7 linked regions of the Oryctolagus cuniculus genome follow. The protein of the gene in region 3 purifies or fractionates together with the protein of the main gene of each other region. This does not show direct contact. Links are inferred from orthologs where the notes say so. Each region holds a gene or a part of one and is shown on either strand. Other genes may lie near its edges.

What was found.
Region 1: the proteins of AMFR (region 3) and TMUB1 purify together in Homo sapiens (affinity purification with mass spectrometry; 3 studies listed by BioGRID and IntAct, with this or other methods). This does not show direct contact. The link is inferred for Oryctolagus cuniculus from reciprocal best matches to the Homo sapiens genes AMFR and TMUB1.
Region 2: the proteins of AMFR (region 3) and DERL1 purify together in Homo sapiens (affinity purification with western blotting; 4 studies listed by BioGRID, with this or other methods). This does not show direct contact. The link is inferred for Oryctolagus cuniculus from reciprocal best matches to the Homo sapiens genes AMFR and DERL1.
Region 4: the proteins of AMFR (region 3) and UBAC2 purify together in Homo sapiens (affinity purification with western blotting; 4 studies listed by BioGRID and IntAct, with this or other methods). This does not show direct contact. The link is inferred for Oryctolagus cuniculus from reciprocal best matches to the Homo sapiens genes AMFR and UBAC2.
Region 5: the proteins of AMFR (region 3) and RNF185 purify together in Homo sapiens (affinity purification with mass spectrometry; 3 studies listed by BioGRID and IntAct, with this or other methods). This does not show direct contact. The link is inferred for Oryctolagus cuniculus from reciprocal best matches to the Homo sapiens genes AMFR and RNF185.
Region 6: the proteins of AMFR (region 3) and ERLIN1 purify together in Homo sapiens (affinity purification with mass spectrometry; 3 studies listed by BioGRID and IntAct, with this or other methods). This does not show direct contact. The link is inferred for Oryctolagus cuniculus from reciprocal best matches to the Homo sapiens genes AMFR and ERLIN1.
Region 7: the proteins of AMFR (region 3) and INSIG1 purify together in Homo sapiens (affinity purification with western blotting; 6 studies listed by BioGRID and IntAct, with this or other methods). This does not show direct contact. The link is inferred for Oryctolagus cuniculus from reciprocal best matches to the Homo sapiens genes AMFR and INSIG1.

The regions. Positions count from the first base shown.
Region 1 is NC_091438.1:22,735,940-22,739,925, forward strand, and holds TMUB1 (transmembrane and ubiquitin-like domain-containing protein 1), read left to right. Parts: upstream 1-1,186; 5' UTR 1,187-1,343; intron 1,344-2,140; 5' UTR 2,141-2,170; coding exon 2,171-2,565; intron 2,566-2,775; coding exon 2,776-3,127; 3' UTR 3,128-3,589; downstream 3,590-3,986. Other genes in the region: FASTK (fas-activated serine/threonine kinase), read left to right, coding at 3,949-3,986. UniProt on the Homo sapiens protein: Involved in sterol-regulated ubiquitination and degradation of HMG-CoA reductase HMGCR. Involved in positive regulation of AMPA-selective glutamate receptor GRIA2 recycling to the cell surface.
Region 2 is NC_091437.1:148,811,690-148,815,189, forward strand, and holds part of DERL1 (derlin-1), read right to left. Parts: intron 616-3,500; coding exon 504-615; intron 1-503. UniProt on the Homo sapiens protein: Functional component of endoplasmic reticulum-associated degradation (ERAD) for misfolded lumenal proteins. Forms homotetramers which encircle a large channel traversing the endoplasmic reticulum (ER) membrane.
Region 3 is NC_091449.1:40,178,867-40,183,158, forward strand, and holds the start of AMFR (E3 ubiquitin-protein ligase AMFR), read right to left. Parts: upstream 2,801-4,292; 5' UTR 2,590-2,800; coding exon 2,335-2,589; intron 1-2,334. UniProt on the Homo sapiens protein: E3 ubiquitin-protein ligase that mediates the polyubiquitination of lysine and cysteine residues on target proteins, such as CD3D, CYP3A4, CFTR, INSIG1, SOAT2/ACAT2 and APOB for proteasomal degradation.
Region 4 is NC_091440.1:13,393,923-13,398,183, forward strand, and holds the start of UBAC2 (ubiquitin-associated domain-containing protein 2), read right to left. Parts: upstream 2,801-4,261; 5' UTR 2,651-2,800; coding exon 2,620-2,650; intron 1-2,619. UniProt on the Homo sapiens protein: Restricts trafficking of FAF2 from the endoplasmic reticulum to lipid droplets.
Region 5 is NC_091452.1:24,336,346-24,339,845, reverse strand, and holds part of RNF185 (E3 ubiquitin-protein ligase RNF185), read right to left. Parts: intron 1,391-3,500; 5' UTR 1,344-1,390; coding exon 1,168-1,343; intron 1-1,167. UniProt on the Homo sapiens protein: E3 ubiquitin-protein ligase that regulates selective mitochondrial autophagy by mediating 'Lys-63'-linked polyubiquitination of BNIP1.
Region 6 is NC_091446.1:29,940,169-29,943,668, reverse strand, and holds part of ERLIN1 (erlin-1), read right to left. Parts: intron 1,735-3,500; coding exon 1,609-1,734; intron 1-1,608. UniProt on the Homo sapiens protein: Component of the ERLIN1/ERLIN2 complex which mediates the endoplasmic reticulum-associated degradation (ERAD) of inositol 1,4,5-trisphosphate receptors (IP3Rs).
Region 7 is NC_091438.1:13,099,333-13,102,832, reverse strand, and holds part of INSIG1 (insulin-induced gene 1 protein), read left to right. Parts: intron 1-557; coding exon 558-682; intron 683-1,755; coding exon 1,756-1,922; intron 1,923-2,267; coding exon 2,268-2,367; intron 2,368-3,500. UniProt on the Homo sapiens protein: Oxysterol-binding protein that mediates feedback control of cholesterol synthesis by controlling both endoplasmic reticulum to Golgi transport of SCAP and degradation of HMGCR.

The sequences.
Region 1 (3,986 bases), on a different chromosome or scaffold from region 3:
CCTCCTCTACTTTTCCCAGGAACATTAGCAGGGAGCTGGATTGGAAGTGGAGCAGCTTGAACTCAAACCACTGCGCATATGGGATGAGGGGCTGCAGGCAGAGGTTTAACCTGCTACACCACAGCACTGGCCCCCAGGTAGATTATTTTCAATCAAGGCTGGCCTGTAAAATCCAGGAGATGAGGTTTCTGTGGCTACAGGATCCCAGAGGAAGGAGAGGAAACCCACAGAGATTAGCTAGACCAGGCCAGGCTGGGACTCAACATCCTTTAAATTATAACACTGTAATGACACAATTTATGTGCCAGGTTTAACACTAGATGAGCAAATATCTACTAAATGGCAAATATTTTACATACATTTAATAAACCATGTAACTTATTCCTCACAATTGAGGTAGGATGAATGTTTTAGAAAAGAAACTTTTTTTTTTAATTTATTTATTTGAAAGAGTTACACAGAGAGAGGAGAGGCAGAGAGAGAAAGAGAGGTCTTCCATCCGCTGTTTCACTCCCACTCCCCAATTGACTGCAACAACTGGAGCTGTAGCGATCCGAAGCCAGGAGCCAGGAGCTTCTTCTGGGTCTTCCACGTGGGTGCAGGGACCCAAGGACTTGGGCCATCTTCTACTGCTTTCCCAGGCCATAGCAGAGAGCCGGATTGGAAGTGGAGCAGCCGGGTCTCAAACCGGAGCCCATATGGGATGCCGACGCTTCAGGCCAGGGCGTTAACCTGCTGTGCCACAGCGCAGGCCCCAAAATTTATTTTCAAAGAGATTTAATAACCCACCCAAGGCCACACTGCCAAGCACACGATAGAGCCTATGCAGGGACAAGGTGGAGAAGGGGGCCAGGGGAAGGCGGAAGCTTGGGGAAGTTATCTTTAGCCAGCCTGGTGAGCAGCCCACGGGTACTGGGCTTTGAGTCCAAGTGGCCTTCTGCCATCCATTCTGACATAAGGGCAAGCCGGGATAGGGGCCACCTGAGTTCCCTAGGGCTCTCATCACTGCATCATCAACACGGGCGCTCTGACGTGCACCTGCTGACGTTGGTGTCTGGAACCACAGATGCCCTGGCTGCTGGCAGCGGAGGAGGCGGCCCCTGCTACCGCCCAAACCTCACAGCCGCCCCCGCCAGCCCCTCAGTGGTCAGGGAACAGCCCGCACAGCACCGCACGTCGGTCCGCAGGGAAGAGGGCGGGGACTGCGCGGCGCGGGACTACAAATCCCACAATGCTCCGGACCGCGACGGCGGGGAAGGAGGGGTGCTTCAGGTGTCTGCGACCTCGGCGCCTCCCGCCCGGAAGTGCCCGAGGGGCCGAGATGGAGCTGGCGGAGCCAGGCGGTGAGTCCCCGCGCCGTGACCGCGCCCACCCCGCCGCCCCAGGACCCAGCCGGGCCCCGCTCGCCCCGCCCCGGGATCGCCCTTGCCCTCCTGCGGCTCTAGGGTGGGGGTGGGGGGCGGGAAGATGGGAGGGGTGATGGAGGAGAGTGAGTGAGAGAGAGAGTGGCGGGGGTGAAGTCCCAGATTCCGGATCTGGGGTCTGGCAGCTGGCTGGGTTTGGAGAGGTTTCTCGAGCAGACGCGCAGTCGGGCCCCCACGGGGGTTGGGGGTTGGGGGTTGAGTGGACCAGGCGGGGGCCGAGTTGGGTGGGTGGCAGCTCTTAGAGGCTCCAGATTGCCCAAGGGCGGAGTTTGACGTTTGGTGTGGGGGAAGCTTTGGGAAGCAGTCCCGTGCCGCGCGCGGGTGCGGTTTGGGTATGGTAAGGGGCGAGGTGAATGGAGCTGTAGAGGATCTTCCCCCTTGGAGAAACTGTATCAACATAAGAGTGGATGAGCGTTGGGGTGAAGTAGATGGAGGAGTAGGTACACTTTGGGATGCAGTAGAATAGAAAAACTTTGGAGGGGCTTGAATTTAAGGGGTGCTCAGAAGGCGATAGGGTTTTGGTGAATTGAGGGGTTGGTTAAGAATAGGGAGTTGTGATTGGATTTGGTGATGGGAAAGGGCAGGAGGAGGCAAGTGTGGGACTACTGGGAGAGCAGTCTGCATTTTGTAAGAAAGCAGAGGGATTGGAAGAGCTGGGGTGGGGTGGGTCAGGAGGCAGAGAGCCAGCCCTTCATGAGATCTTTGTGCTTTTCCAGCATGGTAGCCTGGCGGGCAAGGCAGGTGCCATGGCCCTGATTGAAGGGGTGGGTGATGAGGTGACTGTCCTTTTCGCGGTGCTTGCCTGCCTTCTGGTGCTGGCCCTCGCCTGGGTCTCGACACATACCGCCGAGGGCGCCGACCCCCTGCCCCAGCCATCAGGGGTCGCAACAGCAGCACAGCCCGGTGAAGTTATGGGAGCCACCGCCACCGACAGCGTCAGAGGGGAGTCCCCAGGGGCCGAGACCCCCAGCCTGAGACACAGAGGTCAAGCTGCACAGCCAGAGCCTGGTGCAGGGGTCACAGCAACACCGCCACCCCCGGACTCCCCACAGGAGCCCCTAGTGCTGCGGCTGAAATTCCTCAATGACTCAGAGCAGGTGGCCAGGGCCTGGCCTCACGACACCATTGGCTCCTTGAAAAGGTAAGCAAAGAGATGAGCAGGAGAAACGCCACTGGGAGTGGGGGTGGGAGTGATGGTTTTACCTCCTTGAGGGCCCTCAGCTCCCCGTATCACACCCGACGGCAGGCTGCCCCCTCGGGTGGTGTGTGGGGGCGGGGGGCAGCGCTGTTTTGGGTGAGGGACTAGGATTGCCTGAGGCCTGCTCTCTTACCCAGGTCCCTCTCTCCTCAGGACCCAGTTTCCCGGCCAGGAGCAGCAGGTGCGGCTCATCTACCAAGGGCAACTGCTAGGAGACGACACACAGACCCTGGGCAGCCTTCACCTCCCTCCCAACTGCGTTCTCCACTGCCACGTGTCCACGAGGGTCGGGCCCCCGCATCCGCCCTGCCCGCCGGGGTCAGAGCCAGGCCCCTCCGGGCTGGAAATCGGCAGCCTGCTGCTGCCTCTGCTGCTGCTGCTGCTGCTCCTGCTCTGGTACTGCCAGATCCAGTACCGGCCCTTCTTCCCCCTGACCGCCACTCTGGGCCTGGCCGGCTTCACCCTGCTCCTCAGCCTCCTGGCCTTCGCCATGTACCGCCCGTAGTGCCTCCACGGGCTCTCGGCAGCGTCGCCGGCCCCTCCGGACCTCGCTCCCCAAGGCACAGCGGGAGCTGCTGCCTGCCCAGGCCCGCCTCTCCGGCCTGCCTCTTCCCGCTCCCCTGGAGCCCAGCCTTGCGCCGCAGAGGACTCCGGGAGCTGGCGGAGCCCCCTGCCTGTGACCGCCACGGCTCGGGGCCACCTCCTAGGGCTGCAGGCCCCCAGCCCTCACTGACAGTTGGCTCCTCGGGGTCAGGTACCTGCTGTCGATGCCTTGGCCCTGGGCAAAGCCAGGCCACCCCCCTGGGCCCGTCTTAGTGTTCTGCCTGTGGACCCGGCCATGTGTAGACCCTAACAGCTCCTCGGGCTGGTCTAGGGACGCAAAGACTGCGGTAGGCTGGTGCAGGGGATGGGAGAGGGGCAGAGGTCTATGAAATATGTGCAGATTAAAATAACTGTGAAGTTTTCACTCTTGGCGTGTGTCTGAGTGGGGCTGGGAGGCGGGGAGCCCTTGTTGTCTGGGAGAAAAGGGAGGGAAGGACCGGGACTGGACCCTCGGCCCTGTCCAACCCGCCGGCGACTAACTTCCCTTCTCTGCTCCGGTCGCCGCGGCTTCGGGGTTTGGTTCTGTGGCCCCGCCCCCTAGCCTGGGTCCCGCCCCCGGTGCTGCGCGCGCACTTCCCGGAAGCTGGGGGCGGGGCCCGCGGCGCCCTGGCTCGCAGCGCCTGCCGGGAGCCACGTCTCCGCTGGCCAAGCGCTTCGCCGGGGTTGGCGTCCCGGCGGCGATCCGGGGGCTGCTGGGAAGATGGCGGACTCTGTGGCCCGCGGATGAGGAGGCCGCGGGGGGAACCCGGCCCCCGGGCCCC
Region 2 (3,500 bases), on a different chromosome or scaffold from region 3:
ACACAGGGATTCATATCGGACGCTACCACATTACTAAATCTTGGCTATACATTTCAAAGTTGAGTGTTTCAATTAGAGAGAGCAATTCTAGGCTTCTAATTGCACAAAGTAGTACTTCTCAAGCCCACTCCAGACAACATATACACTCCAACCCAATTTTGCACTAAATGACAAGGACTGCTCTACAACAGAAATGAATGAGATCATCTAATCAAGTGAGAAGCACACAGCTGAGCCACTAAGAGACAGGCAGGAAACGTAAACCTCTAATATGTTCTTTTTTCAGCTAAAAAAAAAAAAGTGCTACTTATACTTCCTGACATTTTACAGAGTAAAGGACAAACAACTTCAGTGCTTAGCACAGTCCTGGCATTCACTGAGCAAACACAATCATTACGCCATTTCTTACCAAATGCTACCTGCCCTCAAAATTCCTCCAAGAAAAGAAACATATGAATTAGCAAATCAGAAGAAAAAAATATTTACATCTACAGATGACTTACCTGTTTCCAGGCGAGTAGAATACTGATACAAGAAATATAAATTGACCAAATAAAGAAATCCAGTTCCTGGACCCACAGGGAAATAAAAGGTGGCAGTGATTGGCCTCCAAATCTGTCAAAATCAAAATAAAGACATTTGTTAGTTTTTCTAAGCCTGATTAATTTTTTTTCTTTTAACTAAATTAACCTTTGCAAAGCTTTCTCAAAATGATACTACCAACACAATTCAAAACAACTGAAGAAAAGTTCATATAAATTACAATCACATCAATTTGCAAACCAATGGATAAGCAATAAGTATTTCTAAACAAGCTCTTAAAAATCAATGTCTGGCCCTTTGGCACAGCAGGTTAAAGCCACAGCCTGCGGTGCTGGTATCCCATATGGGCACTGGTTCTAGTCCTGGCTGCTCCTTTTCCAATCCATCTCTCTGTTATGGCCTGGAAAAGCAGCAGAAGATGGCCCAAGTACTTGGGCCCCTGCACCCACGTGGGAGACCTGGAAGAAGCTCCTGGCTTCTGGCTTCAAATAATCCCAGCTCCAGCCATTGCAGCCATTGGGGGAGTGAACCAGTGGACAAACGACCCCTCCCCCTCCCCCACTGCTTCTCCCACTCTCTAACTCTTTCAAATAAATAAATATATCTTTAAAAAAAAATCAATGTTATAGAAGTACATGGTTGGGACAGGTGTTGGGGAACATTTAGGCTGCCTGTGTCCTTTATCAGAATGCCAATTTGAATCCCAGCTCCTCTATTCCAATCCAGCTTCCTGCAAATGCATCCTGGAACGCAGCCAAAGACGGGTCATGTGCTTGGGTGCCTGCCACCCATGTGAAGACGTGGATGGAGTTCTGGCGTGGCTCAGCCCTGACTGTGGCAGGCATCTGGGGAGTGAACCAGCAGATGGAAGATCCCTCTTTCTGTCCCTCTTTAAAGTAGATGATGATAAATAAACAAACATTTTAAAAAAGAATTACATCTTTAGTTACTGAGATCATACAACTAAGCCTATGACAAAATGAATTGCAAAGACTTCTTTCCCAACAGTACAATAATTTCATAATATCTCTATTTAGGAATGATAAACCTTATTCAAAAATGTCATACTCAAAAAGAATTTAAACAGGGATTTTTACTAAAAAAAAATTGGCTAAATAGACAAAATGAGCACACATGACATAAAAACCATTACCTGAACAAACAATACAGAAGGATCTGCAGTAAGAAATAAGCCTTGTTAACAACAACTGATGAGGTTTTTGTACCAATATTATTTTCAAAAAGTAACAGGGGGCTGGCGCTGTGGCATAGCAGGTAAACCCACTGCCTGCAGTGCCAGCATTCCATATGGGCACCAGTTCGAGTCCCGCTTCTCCACTTCTGATCCAGCTCTCTGCTGTGGCCTAGGAAAGCAGTGGAAGATGGCACCTGCATGGGGGACCTGGAAGAAACTCCTGGCTCCTGCCTTCAGATTGGCATAGCTCTGGCCATTGCGGCCACCTGGGGAGTGAACCAGTGAATAGAAGACCTCTCTCTAAGGTAGCAACGAGGACAGACATTTGGCCCAATAGATGAGATGCCTGTATCCCACATCAGAATGCCTGGTTTCGAGTCCCAGTTCTACTCCTGATTCCAGCTCTTGTTAATGCATACCTCAGAGGCAGGAGTGATAGTGAAGTAACTGGGTTCCTGCCACCTACGTGGGAGACCTGACTGAGTTCCAAGCACCCAGCTTTGGCCCCAGCCAGGGCATGTTGTGAACACTTGCAGAGTGGATGGAACAGGAGCTCTCTGGATGTCCATTTCTCTCTGTCATCGCTGCCTCTCAAATAAATTAATTAAAACAAAATTAAATGTAAGTAAGTGTATCCACCATTTATCAAGCTTATGAAATATTTTCACTCCAAGAATATCAAAGTGCTCACAGCTTTATTATAGCACTTTTCATAGTTCATCCAAGGAGTAAGGAGGAAATTCACCTTCTTTTTCTAGATGGTCACTCAGTTTCCCATTCCCATTGACAGAGTGTCCCATATTTCCTCCAATTACTTAAAAAAACTACTTTCACTGAATATTTATTCTATTTTATCTTAATGTCTATTTTAGACTATCCTGCTTGAAACTGAGGTCTAGACCAATACCAAGTTGTTTTAATCTAGTTCTATAATAAATTTTAATATCTGATAAAGTTGAATAGTTAAATCTTCCTCCCCTTTTTTATTTATTTATTTGACAGGCAGAGTTATAGACAGTGAGAGAGAGAGAGAGAGAAAGGACTTTCGTCAGTTGGTTCACTCCCCAAATGGCAGCTACGGCCGGTGCTGCGCCAATCCAAAGCCAGGAGCCAGGTGCTTCTCCTGGTCTCCCATGCGGGTGCAGGGGCCCAAGCACTTGGGCCATCCTCCACTGCCCTCCCCGGGCCACAGTGGAGAGCTGGATTGGAAGAGGAGCAGCCAGAACTAGAACCCGGTGCCCATATGGGATGCCGGCGCTGCAGGCGGAGGATTAACCAAGTGAGCCAAGGCACCGGCCCCTCCCTCCCCTTTCTCTTATTATTTTGTCTTATTTTCTCTTACTATATTGTCAATCTTCTTGGTTAGTCTCAATATTTTATTTTTCTGAATGAATCTAAACAATATATTGGTTATATGGACACGATATTGATGTAATTCCCACCCTAGAAGCTTCTCATAGCTTTTTTTTTTTTTTAAGGTTTATTTATTTATTTGAAAGGCAGAGTTACAGAGAGGCACAGGCAGAGAAAGAGGTCTCCCATCCACTGGTTCACTTCCAAAATGGCTGCAACGGCCAGAGCTCAGCTGATCCGAAGCCAGGAGCCAAGAGCCTCTTCCGGTCTCCCACTCGTGTGCAGGGGCCCAAGCACTTGGGCCAGCCTCTTCTGCCCTCCCAGGCGATAGCAGAGAGCTGGATCAGAAGTGGAGCAACCAGGACTCAAACCGGCACCCACACGGGATGCCAGCACTGCAGGCAGAGGC
Region 3 (4,292 bases):
GCTGGATTCAAACATCCTTCATTCAAAGACTTTCCTTGAGGTCTTTCCTAGGCAGAATTTCTCTTTCCTCCAAACTCCATCATGTTTTGTTTATGCATCTATTATCACGAAATTTTGTCTTGTTATTTGTAGCATTTTGACAGTAGGGGAAACCTATGCCCTCCAGAGTACCCAGAAGGGCCCTTCTGAAAGGTTCTGAATTGAATTTGTTAATCAAAAACCTCCTGAAATGCTCAGGCCCATATTATTCTAACTTGTATTCCAACAAAAAATAAGTTTTAGAGGTTGCAATATTCTAAATAAGAGCTAGCAGGATTTGCTAACTGGCAGAAGGATCAGGTTTTGTTTTGTCTTCCTTGGCCTTGGCTGTGTTTTAGAAAAATTTCATCTGAATGCCTATGAGCAGGGCCCAGGAGCATCCTTGCTGACAAAAGCCGCCCACGTTTCCTCAATACTGGTATCTGTTGGGTAACAATGGGGAAGGCTTCTGAGACCCTACCTTCCACTCAGCTGCACAGGGACAGGCAATGAGCGATGGAGAGCACTCCTAGTGCACACGTGAAGGGTTGAGAAGGCAAGGAGGCACACAAGGACACAGGAAAATCCCACAGGAAAGATGGGAGAAAATCAGAATGAGGATCCACTGAGAACTGGAAATACTACCCAGAGGGAGGAAAAAGTGGCAAATCTGCATAAATTAATACCTCTAGGAAAAATAATTTCCACAGAAAAAGCAAAAGGCTTTCTGTAATGTTTTATGAAGAGATATTAACCTTGAAAGTTGAACCCTGGTATGGTAAGAAGAAACTTCTGGGGGGAAAAGTCATTAAACAATACTTGCAGTTGTTTAAATACAATGGTGGTTCCTTCTCAAAGGCTTACTTATATCGTAGAATGAAAAAATATATCAAAGACTACATCATAATCTTAACAGCTGGCAAAAGCACTCTTCACATCGCTTAGCTGTTTACCTGCTAACTCAAATGCAAAACCAGGCTCGAAATTAAGAGATGTGAGTTCTCTTCTCCCTCTATGGTCGGTATGACTGAGCTTCACCCAGAACTTCACCCTTCACTGCCTTCTATTAAACTCTGCTTAATTCACAGCCCCCAGAGTTCACAAATCCCACTGCTTCCTGATGAAGCACAGTGGGAATAATTAGAACCAATGAGTTGCATATCACTCTACAAACTTGGAATATTAATCTCTCCCTCGTTTCCAGCCTACTCTTTCCCCCAAATGAGAGATCTGCAGAGGCAAACAAGACTCAAGACACCATACTAAATCCAAGCGACAGACTAAATCCTGGAGCAACTTTCCTCCTTACTGTGGGGTTTACAAGAAGAGGTATTCAAGACCAAGGCGAAAGCAAAATTCTTTAGCCAAAACAACAGAACTGTTGCTCTAGCAGTCTGAAGTCATCGTTCTCGTAACCGAAACCAGCATGGACACCTTGAAATGCTGCTTATCTTGCAGGGGCAGACGAACTGGAAACCTTGCTTTAAAATGGAGCCCCCAAAAAGAGAACTTCTGAGTGAGAATGAGCGGCGTGCCTCTTCACTCTGAATGTTTGCTGCCTTCGGACATCAAAGGAAACCGTCACGAATCGTCAGGTACGAGCAGCAGGACAGGAAGCACCGTTTGTCTGAGGTTTGTTACATCAAACAGCGCCCAAAGAGGACAAGCAAAACACTAAAGGCACAAAAAGTTTTGAGGAGCGCCTCTCTCCCGACGGGAATGCACAAACACGCCCTGCGCTCGGCGTCCCCCTTCCCCGTCCCTGCCCTCCCGCTCGAGCACCGCCACGCGAGGAGGGAACGGCGCTTCAACTTCCCCGCACCGCCCAGCACGCGGGCGGGGAGCCGCGCGCCCGGCTCCGGCTCCCCTTGAACCTGCCCTTCTAGGCCTCCGGGTACCCCTCAGGGCCCCTCAGAAACCCCGACCCTACCAGTCGGCGTTTCCTTCCACCCCTTCCGGACGCCGGCACCTCAGCCCTCGGCCCCCCGTCCTCCTCCCCGGGCCAGCCATGCTTCTCAGCACCGCCCCTCCGCCTCCCCAGCCCCCTTCCTCGAACCCCCAAACTCGGCCTTGCCCCGGGGAGCCCATCACCTCCACACCCGCGGGCCAACCCTCAAACCTCACCCTTCTCCTTCCAGGGAGCCCCCCGCCGCCCGGCCCCGCCCCCCACCCACCCCCCGGGCCCGCACACGGCGGCGCGGGAGTCAGGGGACCCCTAAGCGCCGTCACGCCCCCCACGAATAATGGGTGACATGGCGGCCCCCACCCCCACCCCCAGGCCGCTCCTGCCCCGCGGGCCCGGGCAGCGTCGCTTACCCACACGAAGAGGCTGTCCGAAAGCAGGTACTGGGCCACGTCGCGGGCCCGGGGTCCCTCGGGGCCAGGCCCCGCGGGCGCGGGCGCCTTGGGCTGCAGCGAGGCCGTTAGCGGCTCCTGCTCGCCGGGCCCGGCCTCGGGCTGGCTGAGGGCGCGGTAGGCGCTGACGATGGTGCCGAGCAGGGCCAGGCCGCTGAGGCCCGTGTAGGTGCGGAGGCTGGGCCAGGGGAAGCGCTCGAGGAAGAGCAGCGGCATGGCGGCAGCGGCGGCCTCCGGACCCCAGGCCTCCCCGCGCTGTGGCCAGGCGCCTGTGGCAGCCTCACAAACGGCGCCCACGGGCTCTGGCGTCGCTGCTGCCGCTGCCACCGCCGGGCCGGGCCGGGCCGCTCCTGGCTGCTGGCGCCGCTCCGCCCAGCGCCGCTCCCGCTGCTGCCCCTGCCGGCGCGGAAGAGCCTCGGCGGGCTCGGGGCGGGCCGCCGCCCCCAGCGGGACGCGGGCGGGCCGGGCGCGGGGGCGCGGCCTTCGTCCCCCCACCCCCTGCCTCCAGCGCTCGCGCCGCCGCCTCGTGGGGGTAGGCCCGGGCTTCAGGCCCTGGGGACTGGCTCCCCGCGTCCTGCACCGACAGCCCCGCTGGGCCGGGCCGGCAGACGCAGAGGGAATCTGCTCCAGCCGGAGCCCCGGCAAGGCTCAGGCCCGCCGCTAGTGGCGTGCAGTCCTGGCCAGGCCACAGTGCCCGCGGACCGGCCACTTGCCCTGTAGTTAGCCCTGAGCACCACTGTGGGCCTAGCAGTTTAACTGGTGTCCAAATAGGGAGGTGGTGTTTGGGGTGTAAAAGATCCCCCCAAAAGAAGGAATGTTAAACAGTCTTAAGTGTTTACTAGTAGACTCTAGAAACAACCTGATTCGGCAGGAAATAAAAATGTGCAAGTGAGAATACTGACATGGTGCAACTACTTTGGAAAAAAAGTCTCCTCGCTTCCTCAAAGTTAAAAATCAGAGTGGCCATTTGACCTAGCAATTCCGAGAAATGAAAACCTTGTATCCATACAAAACTCATACAAATAACAGCACCATACTCCCGGTAACCCAAATGTGGGAACCCGGAATCTCCATCAAACAATGAATGGATAAATGTGAGAAATCAACACAGTGGAATATTATTCAAAGATGAAAATGAAAATTGATATAGGCTACAATATGCACAAATCTTGAAAGCATTCGAAATCAGAGCAGTGACACTGAAGTCCAAATACTGTGATTCCATTGATAGCAATGTCCAGAATAGGAAAATGCATAGACACAAAAGTAGGCTAATAGTTGCTTCCTGATAGGAGGCTGATAGCCAAAGGGTAATGATTTCTTTTTGAAGGGGTGTAATGTTTTAAAATTATGATGGCAAGCCAACTCTGAATAGACTAAAAATCAGTATACACCTTGAACAGTGAATTACATCTTAATATGTGACTTATATGTCTTTATAGCTGCTTACTACCCCTCCAAATGTATAAAGGAAAAAACTACCTTAAGTAGTGCCCAGCCCAGAGTGGATGCTGTTAAATATCTGTCAAATCTAAGGAACTCTCTAGAGGACTGAATTATGCTTTATGGTCTTTTTCTTGCATGTATTCTAAAAGTCTGTTCATTAGGAAAAACATTCTCAAGGTTCCCACCCACTTTGGAATTTTTCAAACACCTTGTTCCAGGTCTCCATGAAACAAGTCTGGCTCTACAGGGGTGCAAGGAGTTTACACCTTTGCTGGCGAAGCTTTTTCACACATAGCCTGGACTCAGTTTGGCTTTCCATCCACAGACATTTCACTAACATGCTAAACTTTACTGGCAAAATAAATAAAGGAAAGCTCTATTTGGGAAGGATAATAATTTCCCAGGAAGTGCTCCACTTTGCAGGTCACCACTGTAGCCACCGTCATTTTTAAACCACGCTGGCAATCCACATT
Region 4 (4,261 bases), on a different chromosome or scaffold from region 3:
AAAAAATTTGAAATCCCTACACACAAGGGGTCTTCAAAAAGTTCATGGGCCGGCGCCGTGGCTCACTAGGCTAATCCTCCGCCTAGCGGCGCCGGCACACCGGGTTCTAGTCCCGGTCGGGGCGCCGGATTCTGTCCCGGTTGCCCCTCTTCCAGGCCAGCCCTCTGCTGTGGCCAGGGAGTGCAGTGGAGGATGGCCCAGGTGCTTGGGCCCTGCACCCCATGGGAGACCAGGATAAGCACCTGGCTCCTGGCTCCTGCCATCGGATCAGCGCGGTGCGCCGGCCGCAGCGCGCTGGCCACGGCGGCCATTGGAGGGTGAACCAACGGCAAAGGAAGACCTTTCTCTCTCTCTCTCTCACTGTCCACTCTGCCTGTCAAAAAATTTAAAAAAAAAAAAAAAGTTCATGAAAAATGGGTACTATGAAAGAACTATACAAGGATTTCAAAAACTTTTATACTAAAATCCACTTGTCTTTTAAAAAAAATATTTATTTTATTTGAAAGTTAGAATTACAGTTCATGGCCACGATGACCAGGTGGAAGCCAGGAGCCAGGAGCTTAATGGGTCTCCCACATGGACTGCAGGGGCCCAAGCACTTGGGCCATCTTCTACTGCTTTTCTCAGGACATGAGTAGGGAGCTGGACCAGAAGTGGAGTGGCAGAGACATGAACCTGTGCCCACGAGATGCTGGTGTCTCACTGATGGCTTTACCTGCTAACGCCATTCTGCCAGCCCCCAAAATCAACTCATCTTTTAATTCCATTTTCTACCAACTTTTTGAAATATCCTCAAAGATGCCCAAAGTATTTGTTGAATAAGCACATGGCACCAGCTTCCTAAAGAAGGGCCATTCCACCTACCCTCACACTGAGGATACACTTATTTCAGAAACTGGCCAAAACAGCTGGGGAGGGCCCCGCAGCCTAAGCCTCTCTCTGGGCAGCAATTTGGTTCCTAGAACTCAACAGTCACCAAAGTAATAAAAAAAATATAAATTGTGCCACAGGTCACAAAATATTACCTTCCTCAGAATACAAGTTGCCAATACACTAATAACCAATAACAGATTTATCTTGCCTTTTCAATTGTTACATGTATTTTTGGTCACCAAGGATAGTTCAAAATGCTGAAGAACAAGAAGCCTGAAGAATTCTACCCCTTTTTCCATCCCTTTCTTGAAGCTTCAGTTCCATCCATCAACAGTCATAATGGTTTTCAGCCCAAAGGTAGTAGGGAGACTATAACCACCTAGGAGATGTAACTCATTTTGGGACCAATCCATGGAAGATGCTATGAATCAAATCCCCAACCTGAGAGGTGGGGAAGTAAACGCACGCCTGTGGCCCTGACACCAACACACTCTGGGTCGAAGACATGCGTTCCCACCTTTTTTTTTTTTTGACAGGCAGAGTGAACAGTGAGAGAGAGAGACAAAGAGAAAGGTCTTCCTTTTGCCGTTGGTTCACCCTCCAATGGCCACCGCGGCCAGCGTACCACGCTGATCTGAAGGCAGGAGCCAGGTGCTTCTCCTGGTCTCCCATGGGGTGCAGGGCCCAAGCACCTGGGCCATCCTCCACTGCACTCCCGGGCCACAGCAGAGAGCTGGCCTGCAAGAGGGGCAACCGGGACAGAATCCGGCGCCCCGACCGGGACTAGAACCCGGTGTGCTGGCGCCGCTAGGCGGAGGATTAGCCTAGTGAGCCACGGCGCCGACCCCCACCATTTTTACTACAGGACTGCGACGCTGATGGACGCCAGACAGGTGCCTGTATTCCGACAACATTCACTTCACACGTATAGAGTTAAGAAGCGCCCGCGGAGACAAGCAAACGAAACATCAGAGCTTCGCGAAGAGCTGCTCAAATACTGGCTGCCAACAGCTGGCTGTTGCTGGAGTCAGGGCACGACCTCAGGGCTGTCCGGCTAACAGATCCGCTTTACCCAAAGTCAGCTAAACACCCTGGAGTGGCTCCTTGTTTAAACGGCTAATAGGAGTTCCCTCGCCACTCTGACCAGCGCTGCCGCCCCGATGGCCACGGCGACACCAGCAGCAGAGCACGGTCTCCGGCCAAAGGCTCCCTAAACTTCTCTCCACTCGCAAGCACTTGAATCGCCCGAAAACTCCTCAGACCGGGGAGAAGCGCGTCTCCCGACTCGGGGAGGTCAGCGCCTGACGAGGGCTGCACTCTGCCTGTCGGCGGCCTCAATGAATGGGGAAAGTGACGAGAAGGGGGCAGGCTCCCAGCACCGCCTCCACCGGGACGGCCTCTTCTTTCGGCCTGGCACACGCGCTACCGGGGGCATCGGGCAGGGCCCCCGGAACACCGGGGCATCCAGCCTGACCCCAACTGCCCAGCCCGCCGCCAGCATCGCCGGGGGGGCTCACGGGCGGGGGCCGAGGCTGGCGGCGGGACTCCGAGCCCACTCGCCAGCCAGGATGGGGGCGGAGCCCGCTGCCCCCCAAGGCCACCAACTACTGAGGTACGGGCTCGGAGATGGAGGGTCGGCCCTCCCACTTCCTTCAAGCCGGAGGGGCTCGGCTGCCCCCAGCCTCCTCAAGGAAGTGCTCAGGGGGGTGTGTGGGGGCAGCCAGGACGGCGGCGGCCGGTACTCACAAAGCCCACTGGAGCCGGTGCTGGTGAACATGGTCCCGCCGGGCTCGGAGCCCCCGCGGGGGACCAGGGGGAGGGGAACCGGAGGTGGAGAGCCCCCGGCGACCGCGCAGGCGCACTCCCGGCGGGGCGGTGAATCCGGCGCCGTGATGCCACTCTAGGGGACGCCCTCCGGACTGCGCATGCGCGACTCAGGGGCGCGCCCACTCGGTCTGCGCCCTCCCTTCCTGCTGGGGAGGGGAAGTGCGTCCGCCGCGGACGGGGTTCGCGTGTGCGGAGTTTTCCGACGGCTGCGGCTGCAGTTAGGAAAGGGCTGAGATGGAGCTCAGGGGTAACCCTAGGAGCCGTACCCCTGTGCCCACCCGCGCTTCCGCACCCTGAGGAGCCGCGATGGCCGCAGATTCCTCTCGGTCCTTTAACAGTTCCTCGGACGGGACGCCCGGCGCGTCCCACGCATGCCCAGTCTTTCCGGCTAGCCCGTCTCGGGTTCCGGTGTCCAGCCAAGGGCGAGAGGTCTCTGGACGCGGACGGAAGGAGAGCTGGCCGACGCTCCCTCCATATGGGACAGCGGGCCTATCCAGCTGTCCCCTTTGTCCGGACCCACGTCGGGCCCACGCGAGTGCACGCACCAAGCCCTAACGGCCCGGGAGGCCGCCCGCGCGGGGCGAGTCCAGCGCAGAGACCCTGCCTGTTGTCAGGTTAGGTTTTCTTCCCACTGCTGACTGAAATTGCTCTTTGCTAAAGTCACTTCATCTAAAATAGGTGTGAGCCTGAAAATTTTATTATACAATCGTTTAAAAAGTTTTTTTCAAAGAATAGGGGGAAATTGTCCATAGTACACGGCTAAATGAAAGGACAGGCTGCAAAAGTGTACAGCATACTTAAACAAGAAAAAAATGAATTTATTTGTACGAGCCAATGTAAATCTGAGATTCCCTTATTAACACAGTCCCCGCACCCTTAGTAGAAGTTCCAGGGGACCGGAATAGTCACATTGATTAGATCTAGAAAGCAAAAATATAGGTGCTTTTTCTTTCCTTCTTCAGGCTTGATTTATTTATTTATTTATTTTTTTTACAGTCTTGAAATACAGCTTATATTTAACCTTAGGTTAACCAGCTCAAATCTTTTGCAACCAAACGATTGTCCTTTATGTTTGCAGAAGTTGTCCGCTGGTGAGAAAGCCTGTAGCCTACATAGGACGGGGACTCGGTGTAGGTGTGGCGATCTCTGACCCAAAAAGGGAACCCAAAGGACAAAGCTATTTTCGTGGTACTGCTAAGACAATGCTGTCCCCACCCTGCCCCGGCTCACTCATGAGTATACAGTGGAGCTTTCCATAGTACTGGTGGAAGACCTGTGTAACACTCTGAACCAGTATTTTCCACTTGACCAATGCATGAGGTTATGAATTCATGCCTGGGTAAACGATTAGTTCAAGCTGCAAGATAAACCGAGAGGTGTTAGTGAACAGAGTACAAGAAGCTCATTGATAAGGCCTCAGGGTCCTCCCTGGAAGTACTTTTTAAGATACTACCATTTGTTGGCCAGTGCTGCGGCTCACTAGGCTAATCCTCCACCTGCGGCGCCAGCACCCCGGGTTCTAGTCCCAGTCGGGGCACTGGATTCTGTCCTGGTTGCCCCT
Region 5 (3,500 bases), on a different chromosome or scaffold from region 3:
AAAAAACAGCTACAGTAACAATTACTATGGGTATTGCTGACACAGTATTTTCTCCATGCTATGTGTTCCTCTAAGCCTTTTACATATTTCAAGTCTTTTAATACTCATAAACAGTTGAGTAAAATTAGGGAGAGTGCATGTAAGCATCTTGCCCAAGTTCATCCACAGGAAAGTGGCAGAGCCACGATTCAGAAGGAGACATCTTCTGAATTATGGCATACAGTCCTTGCTCATAACTACCATGCCACACTGCTATAGGCTAAGCAAGCAAAGTACAGGTAGCAGGTGCTCACAAAATGGTGAGTGTTGTGGCGTAGCAGCTTAAGCTGCTGCCTGTGATGCCGCCACCCATATGGGTGCTGGTGCGTGTCCCAACTGCCCCACTTCTGATCCAGCCCTCTGTTACCGTGCCCGGGGAAAGCAGTGGAAGATAGCCCAAGTGCTTGGGCCCCTGTCACATGGGTGACTCAGGTGTCTTCAGCCTGGCCCCAGTGCTGGCTGTTGCGTTCATCTGGGGAGTGAACCAGCGGATGTTAGATCTCTCTGTCTCTCCCTCTTACTCTGTTAACTCTACCTTTCAAATAAATCAATCTTTTTTTTTTTTTTGGACAGGCAGAGTTAGACAGTGAGAGAGAGAGACAGAGAGAGAGTAATAGACAGTGAGAAAGAGACAGAGAAAAAGGTCTTCCTTCCGTTGGTTCACTCCCCTAATGGCTGCCATGGCCGGCACGGTGCCGATCCGAAGCCAGGAGCTGGGTACTTCCTCCCCGTCTCCCATATGGGTGCAGGGACCCAAGCACTTGGGCCATCCTCCACTGCCCTCCTGGGCCTCAGCAGAGAGCTGGACTGGAAGAGGAGCAACTGGGACTAGTAACCAGCGCCCCAACCAGGACTAGAACCCGGGGTGCCAGTGCCGCAGGCGGAGGATTAGCCAAGTGAGCCACAGCACCGGCCTAAATCAATCTTTTTTAAGAAGGTTGTGAGTGTCATTACTCTAGAAAGGAGAAGGAGCATGATCTGCCCAAGGTCATCTAGCTCAGCAGCAGGCCCTGTGGGGTCCGAGTCTAACAGGACCCAAAATGGGCGGGAGGTCTTCTGCTCCAAGGCTTCCAGGGCTACCAGCCCCCCAAACGCAGCACCATGTTTTCTGGGGCAGCGGGTACTGACCAGAAGAGGTGGCCACACAGGCTGATGACGGCATCCTTGGCTGTGTCCAGGCAGATGTTGCACTCGAAGGTGCTGTCCTGCCCTCCGCTTTCCCCAGCGCCGTTGCTGCTCCCACTGGGGCCCCCTGCGCTGGAGTTCTCAGGGGATGCAGAGGCCGACGGCCCCTTGCTCGCCATCCTTGGCTGTCAGCAAAGTTTTTGGTGAAGATTCTGCCAGGGAAATCCTGAAAGGCAGAGAGCCCTTGGTTACCCACTTCTGCAGCCCACACCCCCTGCCTTCCATGCCAAACCACCCCCGTCCAACACGTCTTCTCTCAACTCCAGTCTCCGGCTGTGCCTGCGGCCCTGGGTAGACTTCCAAGGGTCTGCAAAGGACAACAGTTGTGGGACACTACCCAAAGGGCAACGACTCCGAAACTTCCCATGAACATGGCCCCGAATACACTACACAAATATATCAACCGCACATATACGTCAACAAGTTAACGGAAAAATACGAAAAGCTTATTTGAGTGCAGTAAAGTTTCTGAAATACGTGCAGCTTACTAATATATGCACTTTCAGGAGCCTTTTGAAGACCCCTGTACAAAAACCCTGCAGATGGCCTTCCACAGGAACCAGGACCCTGTCTGAGTTATCTTCACATGCTCCTCTGAGAACCCAGGTGATAAATATATGTTCAATTCCACGGAAAGTTCAGGCTGTCCTCTAATTGTGGACAGCCTCCAATACTAGCAATGAACTCTGCTCAGGCAGGAGGGCTGTGACTGGCACGTGCCAGACTATGAAGACATGCCTGTAGCGGTGAAAACCGAGGAGGTTACTAGGAAGGACCAGAAGGCTCATCCGGTCCAGTGTTTTTCACACTGTGATCTTTTTCACTGTCTTTTCTGCCACGTTGGAATATCACCTACATTATTTCGTCTAAATCTATCCACATTTTGTTTTAAGCTTCAATACATTTAAAGAAGAGGCTTATATCATTGTAATGGATAGAAATTAAATGGAAAACCAGTACTACCTCTACCATAAGTGGAAAACAAGGATTAATGTAACAAGGAAAAGCTATTTATCCTCACACCACCTGAAGTATCTGGCACGCTCATAATCTGCTTCGGGAAATCCTGCTCTGGCCCAGCCTCTTTTGGAAACTGCAGCCTGAGCTACCTTGGCTGGCTGACTCATGCGGAGCTGAACCACATTTGTATTCAAGCCACTGTACCACCACAGACCAGCTGACCGCCAAAGGCTGCTAGAGAGAGACCACTGTTGACCACCACCTCCAAGTTGAAGAACCCAGCCAGGAGCTGACCAAGACCAAGGGATGCTCAAAATTCTGGGTGCACATGAAGGATCCTCAGCTGGTCCCCTCAACATCCCAGAAATTCTAAGAAAGCAATGTTGGCTGCCATCGTTAGAGAACTGAGGCCTGAATGCTGGCCTCAGCGGAGCCTCCAGCTTGCCAGGTGGTTTGGGGACCTCCCCTTCCCACCCCCGGCCACCTTTTCCTGATCTGTAAAATGAGGCATTAGACTCCCTGGTCTCCGGGGTGCCCCCGCCAGCCCCTTGACTGTGCTGCTCCACATCTTCTCGCCTCCGCAGGTCTAGGACTCACCACTGGAGCACCTGAAGGCCACCTTGATGTCAGCTCCCAGAGTGCAGGGGGTAGGGACCAACGAGCTGCAGCCCTTGCAGACCTGGAAGCTGCCTTCCCTTCCCGCGGTAGACGAGAGCACTGCACTCAGGAACCTGCCTCAGCAAAGCAGCAGCTCGCCGCCTGGAGCAGGGAGAGGAGGCCGGCTCGCCGCCACTTTTTCACGCAGTTACATCATTTTACATGATGTCCCAGAAGGGCAGCAGGTTGCTGGCAGCACCGGTGCCTTGCAGGCCTTGGCTCCAAGACCTCCTCCCCGACCCTACGCTTCCCCTCTCCAACACATCTGCTCTCCACACCTTGGGGTGCAGTCTGTTTTGGGGGGGCCACACTGTGGCCTTTCCTTATCATTCCTGCTCAAGGAGCCTAGGAACCAACCCATTTGAGTGTCCTTGTTTAAAAAGATTTTTTAAAATTAAGAACTATGTATCCAGGTTCACTGATCAATCTTAACAACGCCTCTGACATGATGCAATAAGAAGTACACAGCACCACCAATGAAGCATTTGTATCTCACAATGTAGACCCCGATCACGCATCTAAAGTAAATGACCTATTTATAGAAAGTACACACATGTGTTAACTGCAGGGGAGGCCACTGTGGCTCAGCAGGTTAACTGGCTGCTTGTGAAGCCAGCATCCCACATCAGAGTGCTGGTTCGAGTCCCGGCTGCTCTGCT
Region 6 (3,500 bases), on a different chromosome or scaffold from region 3:
AATCTTACATTTACCTTTGGATTTTAAAAGAAAGGAAAAAAGTTCATAGAAAAGTCTCTGAAACACACACAGAATGTACAGTAATAATGTCATCTCTTCACGTGATGCAGCAGAGTTCATGCGAAGACCTGAGACTGCAGTCCTTACTTACAAAGGCCTATTTGTTAACTGGCCCTTAGTTGGCAGCTGGGAACCTGGATTTGGGGAGGGTCCCTGGCATCCCCTGAATTGATACAAGAAGCTCACGGTCCCTAAACCATTGACATAAACAATGTGGTTTACCCTGAACATCTGCTTTTCTCCTGGGAGACAGGAATTTTAGTATCGGTTGGCAGAGGGTACACCTATGTGACCAGACCTCAACAACACTCACAGCACTGAGTCTTGTTTTTTTTAAAGATTTATTTATTTATTTGAAAGTCAGAGTTACACAGGGAGGGAAAGAGAGACAGAGAGAGAGGGAGAGGTCTTTCATCTGCTGGTTTACTTGCCAGATGGCCAAAATGGCTGGAGCTGCGCCAATCCAAATCAGGAGCCAGGAGCTTCCTCCAGGTCCTCCCATGCAGATGCAGGGGCCCAAGGACTTGGGCCATCTTCTACTGCTTTCCCAGGCCATAGCAGAGAGTTGGATTGGAAGTGGAGCATCTGGGACTTGAACCAGTGCCCATATGAGATTCGGGCACTGCAGGCAGTGGCTTTACCTGCTATGTCACAACACGGGCCCCATGTCACAGGGCCAGCCCCAACACTGAGTTTTTTTTTTTTTTTTTTTTTTTTTTTACAGGCAGAGTGGACAGTGAGAGAGACAGAGAGAAAGGTCTTCCTTTTGCTGTTGGTTCACCCTCCAATGGCTGCTGCGGCCAGCACACCGCGCTGATCCGATGGCAGGAGCCAGGTGCCTCTCCTGGTCTCTCATGTGGGTGCAGGGCCCAGGCACTTGGGCCATCCTCCACTGCACTCCAGGGACACAGCAGAGAGCTGGCCTGGAAGAGGGGCAACCGGGACAGAATCCGGCTCCCCAACCGGGACTAGGACTAGAACCCGGTGTGCCGGCGCCGCAGGCGGAGGATTAGCCTATTGAGCCACGGCACCGGCCAAGACTGAGTCTTTAATGAACTTCCTCAGTAGACAACATTTCCCATGTGTTGTCACAACTTGTTACCAGGAGAATTCAATACAACCTGTGTTGACTTCACTGTGAGAGGACTCTTGGAAGCCTGTGTCTGGTTTCCTTCAGACTTTACCTATATGCCTTTTCTTTTTGCTGATTTCACTTTTCATCTTTTGGGTGTAATAAATTGTAGTCATGAATATAACTTTATGCTGAGTCTTGTCAGTCTTCCTACGAAATTACTTGGTGTAGGGGGAGAAGGGGGAATTTGGGGAGCCCAGAAACTAAATTTCCTCAAATTATCTACTAAGTAGTAATAAAGCTAATGTCATTAAGTTAACATAACACAACACAGTGAGTAAATGAAGTTACTCTAATCTCTACCAAGTTATATAATTGCTTTATTATAAACTCAAAAGAAATTATCATAGCATAAGGTATACTACTACAGCATTGATAAATGAGTTTTACAAGATATCCAATAGGCTATTACTTACCAAACAATTCAATGTAAACTTCTTGAAGTGTGTGGGCACTGCAAAACTGGTTCAGCTCATGGTGGATTTTATTGAAGATTAAGGTCTTATCATAATCTGCAGTGTAGTTCCTCACGATATCAAACACTGAAGGAGAGGTACAACCCAGGTTTGTTTCACCCAAAAGCACCCAGGTTTCTCAGATTCAGGATAAATATTAAAGTAATAAACCAAAGGGCTTCAAAAAGTTCATGGAAAATGCATACTATGAATTTCACAATTCTAACTTTCAATGAAGTTTTTGAAATCCCTCATACACATTATGAAAACATAAAACACAACTCAAAAATTTTGATGTGTTTCTTCTGCTCAATTTTCCAGATATCCTTGCATTTGCTTGCAGTACTAATAGATAAACCTCAAATTCCATACTAAGAAGAGCAAACAAAATTTTTATTTTGGTGTCTTTGTGAAGATGAACTGAGAGGCACAGAGTTCAGAGGCACACAGGGAGAATCTAAGACAATTAGTGTAAAGTAAAAGCTTAGGTAAGAAGTAAAGAGGAAGTGAACTAATTAAGGAACAGTGGAGATAAAAGAAGGAAGCAGCTGTAAAAGACTTTTTTTTTTTTTTTTTTTTTGACAGGCAGAGTGGACAGAAAGAGAGAGAGAGAGACAGAGAGAAAGGTCTTCCTTTTGCCGTTGGTTCAACTTCCAGTGGCCGCCGCGGCCGGTGTGCAGCGGCTGGCGCACCGCGCTGATCCGATGGCAGGAGCCAGGTACTTATCCTGGTCTCCCATGGGGTGCAGGGCCCAAGCACTTGGGCCATCCTCCACTGCACTCCCTGGCCACAGCAGAGAGCTGGCCTAGAAGAGGGGCAACCAGGACAGAATCCGGCGCCCTGATTGGGACTAGAACCCGGTGTGCCGGCGCCGCAAGGCGGAGGATCAACCTATTGAGCCACGGCACCGGCCAAAAGACTGTATTTTTAAAAGGCAGTTTTTAAAGACTATAAAAAGACACCAGGTTAGAAGGGAAAGGAACTAATACTGGGCTAAGCTTTAGGTCAGACAATTTATATACATTAGCATGTAATATACCTGCCAAAAATCTCATCTTACATATTAGCAAACTAAGATTTCCTAAAAGAACCTCAGAAATGTCTCAAAAGGTACATACCAAGTCATATCAGAAACTATGCTCTACCTACAAAACTTGCGTTCTGTTTCTTCAGACCCAGCGACTTGCTTCACAGCCTTCCCATACCAGATACTACATGCAAACGGATTCCAGATCACAACTGATGATAGACCATTAACAGACACTGACATTCTTTGGGCATTTTCCAAATGAATTGGTGATTTCAGAGTTTCCTATTTATCTCTGCTTACAGACCCATAAATTCCCTCCCTTCTTCTATTTCCAATCATCTATTCCAATCATTTGTGATGAGCAAAAATAGGTGAAAAAAAAATGAGGGAAATACTTAATCTCTGAAAAACATGATCAAAATCCCTTTGACCAGAATATATATGTTCTCTGCTCTGAAATATTTTCAGTTTTATTCACGGTGATCTAAGTTCTTGATTTAAATAGTACCCATTCTAGGTCTGTGGACTTTTTTTTTTTTTTTTTCCAGGCAGAGTGAACAGTGAGAGAGAGAGAGACAGAGAGAAAGGTCTTCCTTTTGCCGTTGGTTCACCCTCCAATGGCCGTCACGGCCGGCGCATTGCGCTGATCCAAAGCCAGGAGCCAGGTGCTTTTTCCTGGTCTCCCATGCGGGTGCAGGGCCCAAGCACTTGGGCCATCCTCCACTGTACTCCCGGGCCATAGCAGAGAGCTGGCCTGGAAGAGGGGCAACCAGGACAGAATCCGGCGCCCCGACCAGGACTAGAACCTGGTGTGCCGGCACTG
Region 7 (3,500 bases), on a different chromosome or scaffold from region 3:
CTTGCAAATTGAGGCCAGTCTGTGGGCATATGACCCGGCCTGTCCGAGTCGACTCAGCGAAACTGTGAGTGTCTCACCATGGGCCCAGCAGGGACCTGTCAGAACTGCGTATGTCTTGTGGCCCCAGCTTTTCATGGCCACTCACCTTTTCATTGTAAAGTGGAAGTCACAGTTGATGCAAATAGATAAGTTATGAAGTCATTTCGGTGTTGCACTTTAGAAAATATGACCATTGAATATTAAAAAATTAACTGTCCGTTTCATTAATATGGCTAGGTAAATCCTTGCTTGATTCACTTCTGTGCTTACTGAGACATGTTTAACTCAACCAAATAACAGTATTTTGTTTTGAAACTTTTCAGAACAGAGTGATATTTGGTGGAGATTACTTAATGAGAACAGAGTATAAAATTAGCCTTAATTTAAATATTATGTTGTAGCTGATAAACTTTCTAGTTAAAGGACTAGTTTGGATAATAATACTGGTGATTACCACATGCAACTAATATCCTTTTGAGCTCATGTATTCTAATACTGTCCCCTTTTCTCTCAAACAGCTGTTGTTGGCTTGCTGTACCCCTGTATCGACAGTCACCTTGGAGAACCCCACAAGTTTAAGAGAGAGTGGGCCAGCGTCATGCGTTGTATAGCAGTTTTCGTTGGCATTAACCACGCCAGTGCTGTATCCTTAAGTCAATGTGCTGTGTCCAAACTATTTCCTTCGGTTACATGCTGAAGCATTTTGTTATTTCTATTGAATATATAGTATTTATTACATCATGCAAGTATTTTATTTTAAAGTACATTACTTAGTTTATGCCTGGTAGGATTTGTATGGGATAGTTTCTAGAGTCTTTTCAGTTTGTTTAGGGAAACAGTTGGAAATAATACCAGTAGTAGAGGGAGCTTACTTATTCTCTCCTTTCTCAGACAGTTCTCTTTTGGATCTTAGGAGTTCATTTTTTTTTTTTTTAATTCATCTTTATGTTTCTGTGTTACATCCTTCCAGTGTGAGACTTGGTGACTCCTAAGGCAAAGAGAGAACTGGCAAGAGGCAGGAGTGTTGATATTCTTGCTACATCTTTCCAGAAGGCTCTGTGTCTTGCCTCTCTGTCCACATAAGTCCAAGAGCCAGTCACAGATGGCTCTTGAACTTCTGGCATGCACAGATGAAATTCATTCTATAGAATATTCTGTGTACCTAATGCATTTTTTTGAGGAAAACAGTCTGTAGTTCCATCATCTATGGTCAGGCTATGAGTTTCTTTAGAGCAACTTGGAGAGAGAGACATTTTTAGAGATGTCAGTCCTAAAATCTGCCCACCTGCTGTTTTAAAGGTATATAAGAGCTCTTGTAGGAGCAGTGTTGATAAGAAGTATTGTAATGACCAGCTGTAAGTGTTTAATGTACTAGAGTGCTGTGGGCCAGATGTCATAGTGTAGGCATGAAGATAGTGCTTGCTAAAAACAGAAGAATGAGAGTACAGATGACTTATTACCAAAATGTATTGTTTTATGGACAAAATAACAGCAGAGTTTTATACATAGCTTTCAGAAAGTTTGCCCTTAAAGCATTTGACTCAGTAATCCCGGGGAATCAATCAGCACAAGCCCCTTTTTTAACTCAATATGCAATATTTATGAATAGTGAATGATTCATTATGTAGTAGTAGTCCACAAGTACTTCATGATTTTATTTTTTGTTTTGATTTCATTAAAAATTTTTTAACTTTTCCTTAATGTTAGCATCACCAGAAATTGGATTTTGCCAATAATGTTCAGCTGTCCTTGACTCTGGCAGCCCTGTCATTGGGCCTTTGGTGGACATTTGATCGTTCGAGAAGTGGCCTTGGGCTCGGGATCACTGTAGCCTTTCTAGCTACTCTGATAACACAGTTCCTCGTGTATAATGGTGTCTATCAGTAAGTGTGTGTTTTCAGATATTACAGTTTATAACATTGTTGTTGCATTGGTTTTATAAAAGCACCCATGAAGCCTAGGAGTTTTTTGTGTGTTTGGTTTTTATGTAGTATGGCATAGATTTAGACATGAAATTCTCAAAAATGCTGCTGATGCATTTTAAAAATACACTTCTGTAAACTACCCTTAAGGGAAATTAAGTGGTAGTGCTGGGATGTGATAATGTGCAATTGTTTTATGATTAAATGCATTTTGCACATCCTCATCACAGATCTTTGACTCAGAATTGAACTGGGTGACACTGACTGGTAAGGCACAGACCTTCTCTCTCCCCGCTTTCCTTCCAGGTATACATCCCCAGATTTCCTCTACATTCGTTCTTGGCTCCCGTGTATATTTTTCTCAGGCGGTGTCACAGTGGGGAACATAGGACGGCAGTTAGCAATGGTAAGTGCGATGATCAAGCATCTCCCAACACTGGAGATTTTTTTTTTTTTTAGCTTGTATGGATTGTTTTACTTGATACATTATAATTAGGGTTCATAAATATCTAGTTCCGACTCAAGAGCAGCAATTATTTTAGGAAAGTCTATGTTGAACAAAAGATGTGATGGTACCCACGTGGTTCTTTGCTACATTATAAAGCTTCGCAGGTCTGGAGACTTAAATGATATTTGAGCTAGAAGAAGCCAGGGTTCTAGTGCAGCTCCTCCTATTACATACGTGTCTTACAGCTTTTCTAGATTCACATAACCAGTGTGGTAGCCAGCAGAGAAGTGGCTAAAGGTGTCTGATGAGTTTCTCTCCTTCCTGCAGTATCAGAAACAAATCTGGATGATCTTAGGCCATGACACCTTGCTCCCCCAGCCTCTGACAACCAGCGTTTCTTTTTTAACAAAATCAAGAGTGAGTCCAGGTGATGCTGAGGGGACTCCGCGTGCCTCAGTCTGCTGGCAGGGGCGCAGGGAGCCTGTGGCTGCAGACCACATCTCAGGCCAGGGCCGGGGAGCGGGGAGCTGGGGCACAACAGGCAGCTGGGGGCAGGCAAACATCGCCCTTTTGGGGGGCAGGTGTACTGGGGCACAGAAAAGAGGACATTCAGCACATGGTGAGCCTTGCACCTGTTCTTGCTGAGAGAGAAGTGCTACCTCCTAGGACACACCTCCTGAGAGAGGGGGAAAGGCAAATGAGTTCAAGGATAATTTTAGCAGTTTTTCTCAGTAGCTATAAATTGACATTTGAGCTTTTTCACTTAAAAAAATTAAATGCAGACATTTAAAGATTGTTTTGAGTTGACCTTGACTCAAGGGCTTACATAAAGTGAGCTTAAAAAAAAAAGTTTGCTAGAACTGTCGCTCTCGGAGATAAACTCTGAGGATTTCTCAGAAGACTTATCTTGGTGCCTTGTGCTATTTTTAAAATGGTACATTTGTGCCAGTTGATACCCATTTGTGAGAAGTTGAACTTGAAGGCCACTTGGCTCTTTCACAAAAATAGAAGTCATTTCAAAAGGGTAGAATTTGTATAGTGTTCACTGGTTTACCGAGTCTAAAAAAATCGGCCTTTTGTGCCTTGGTGTT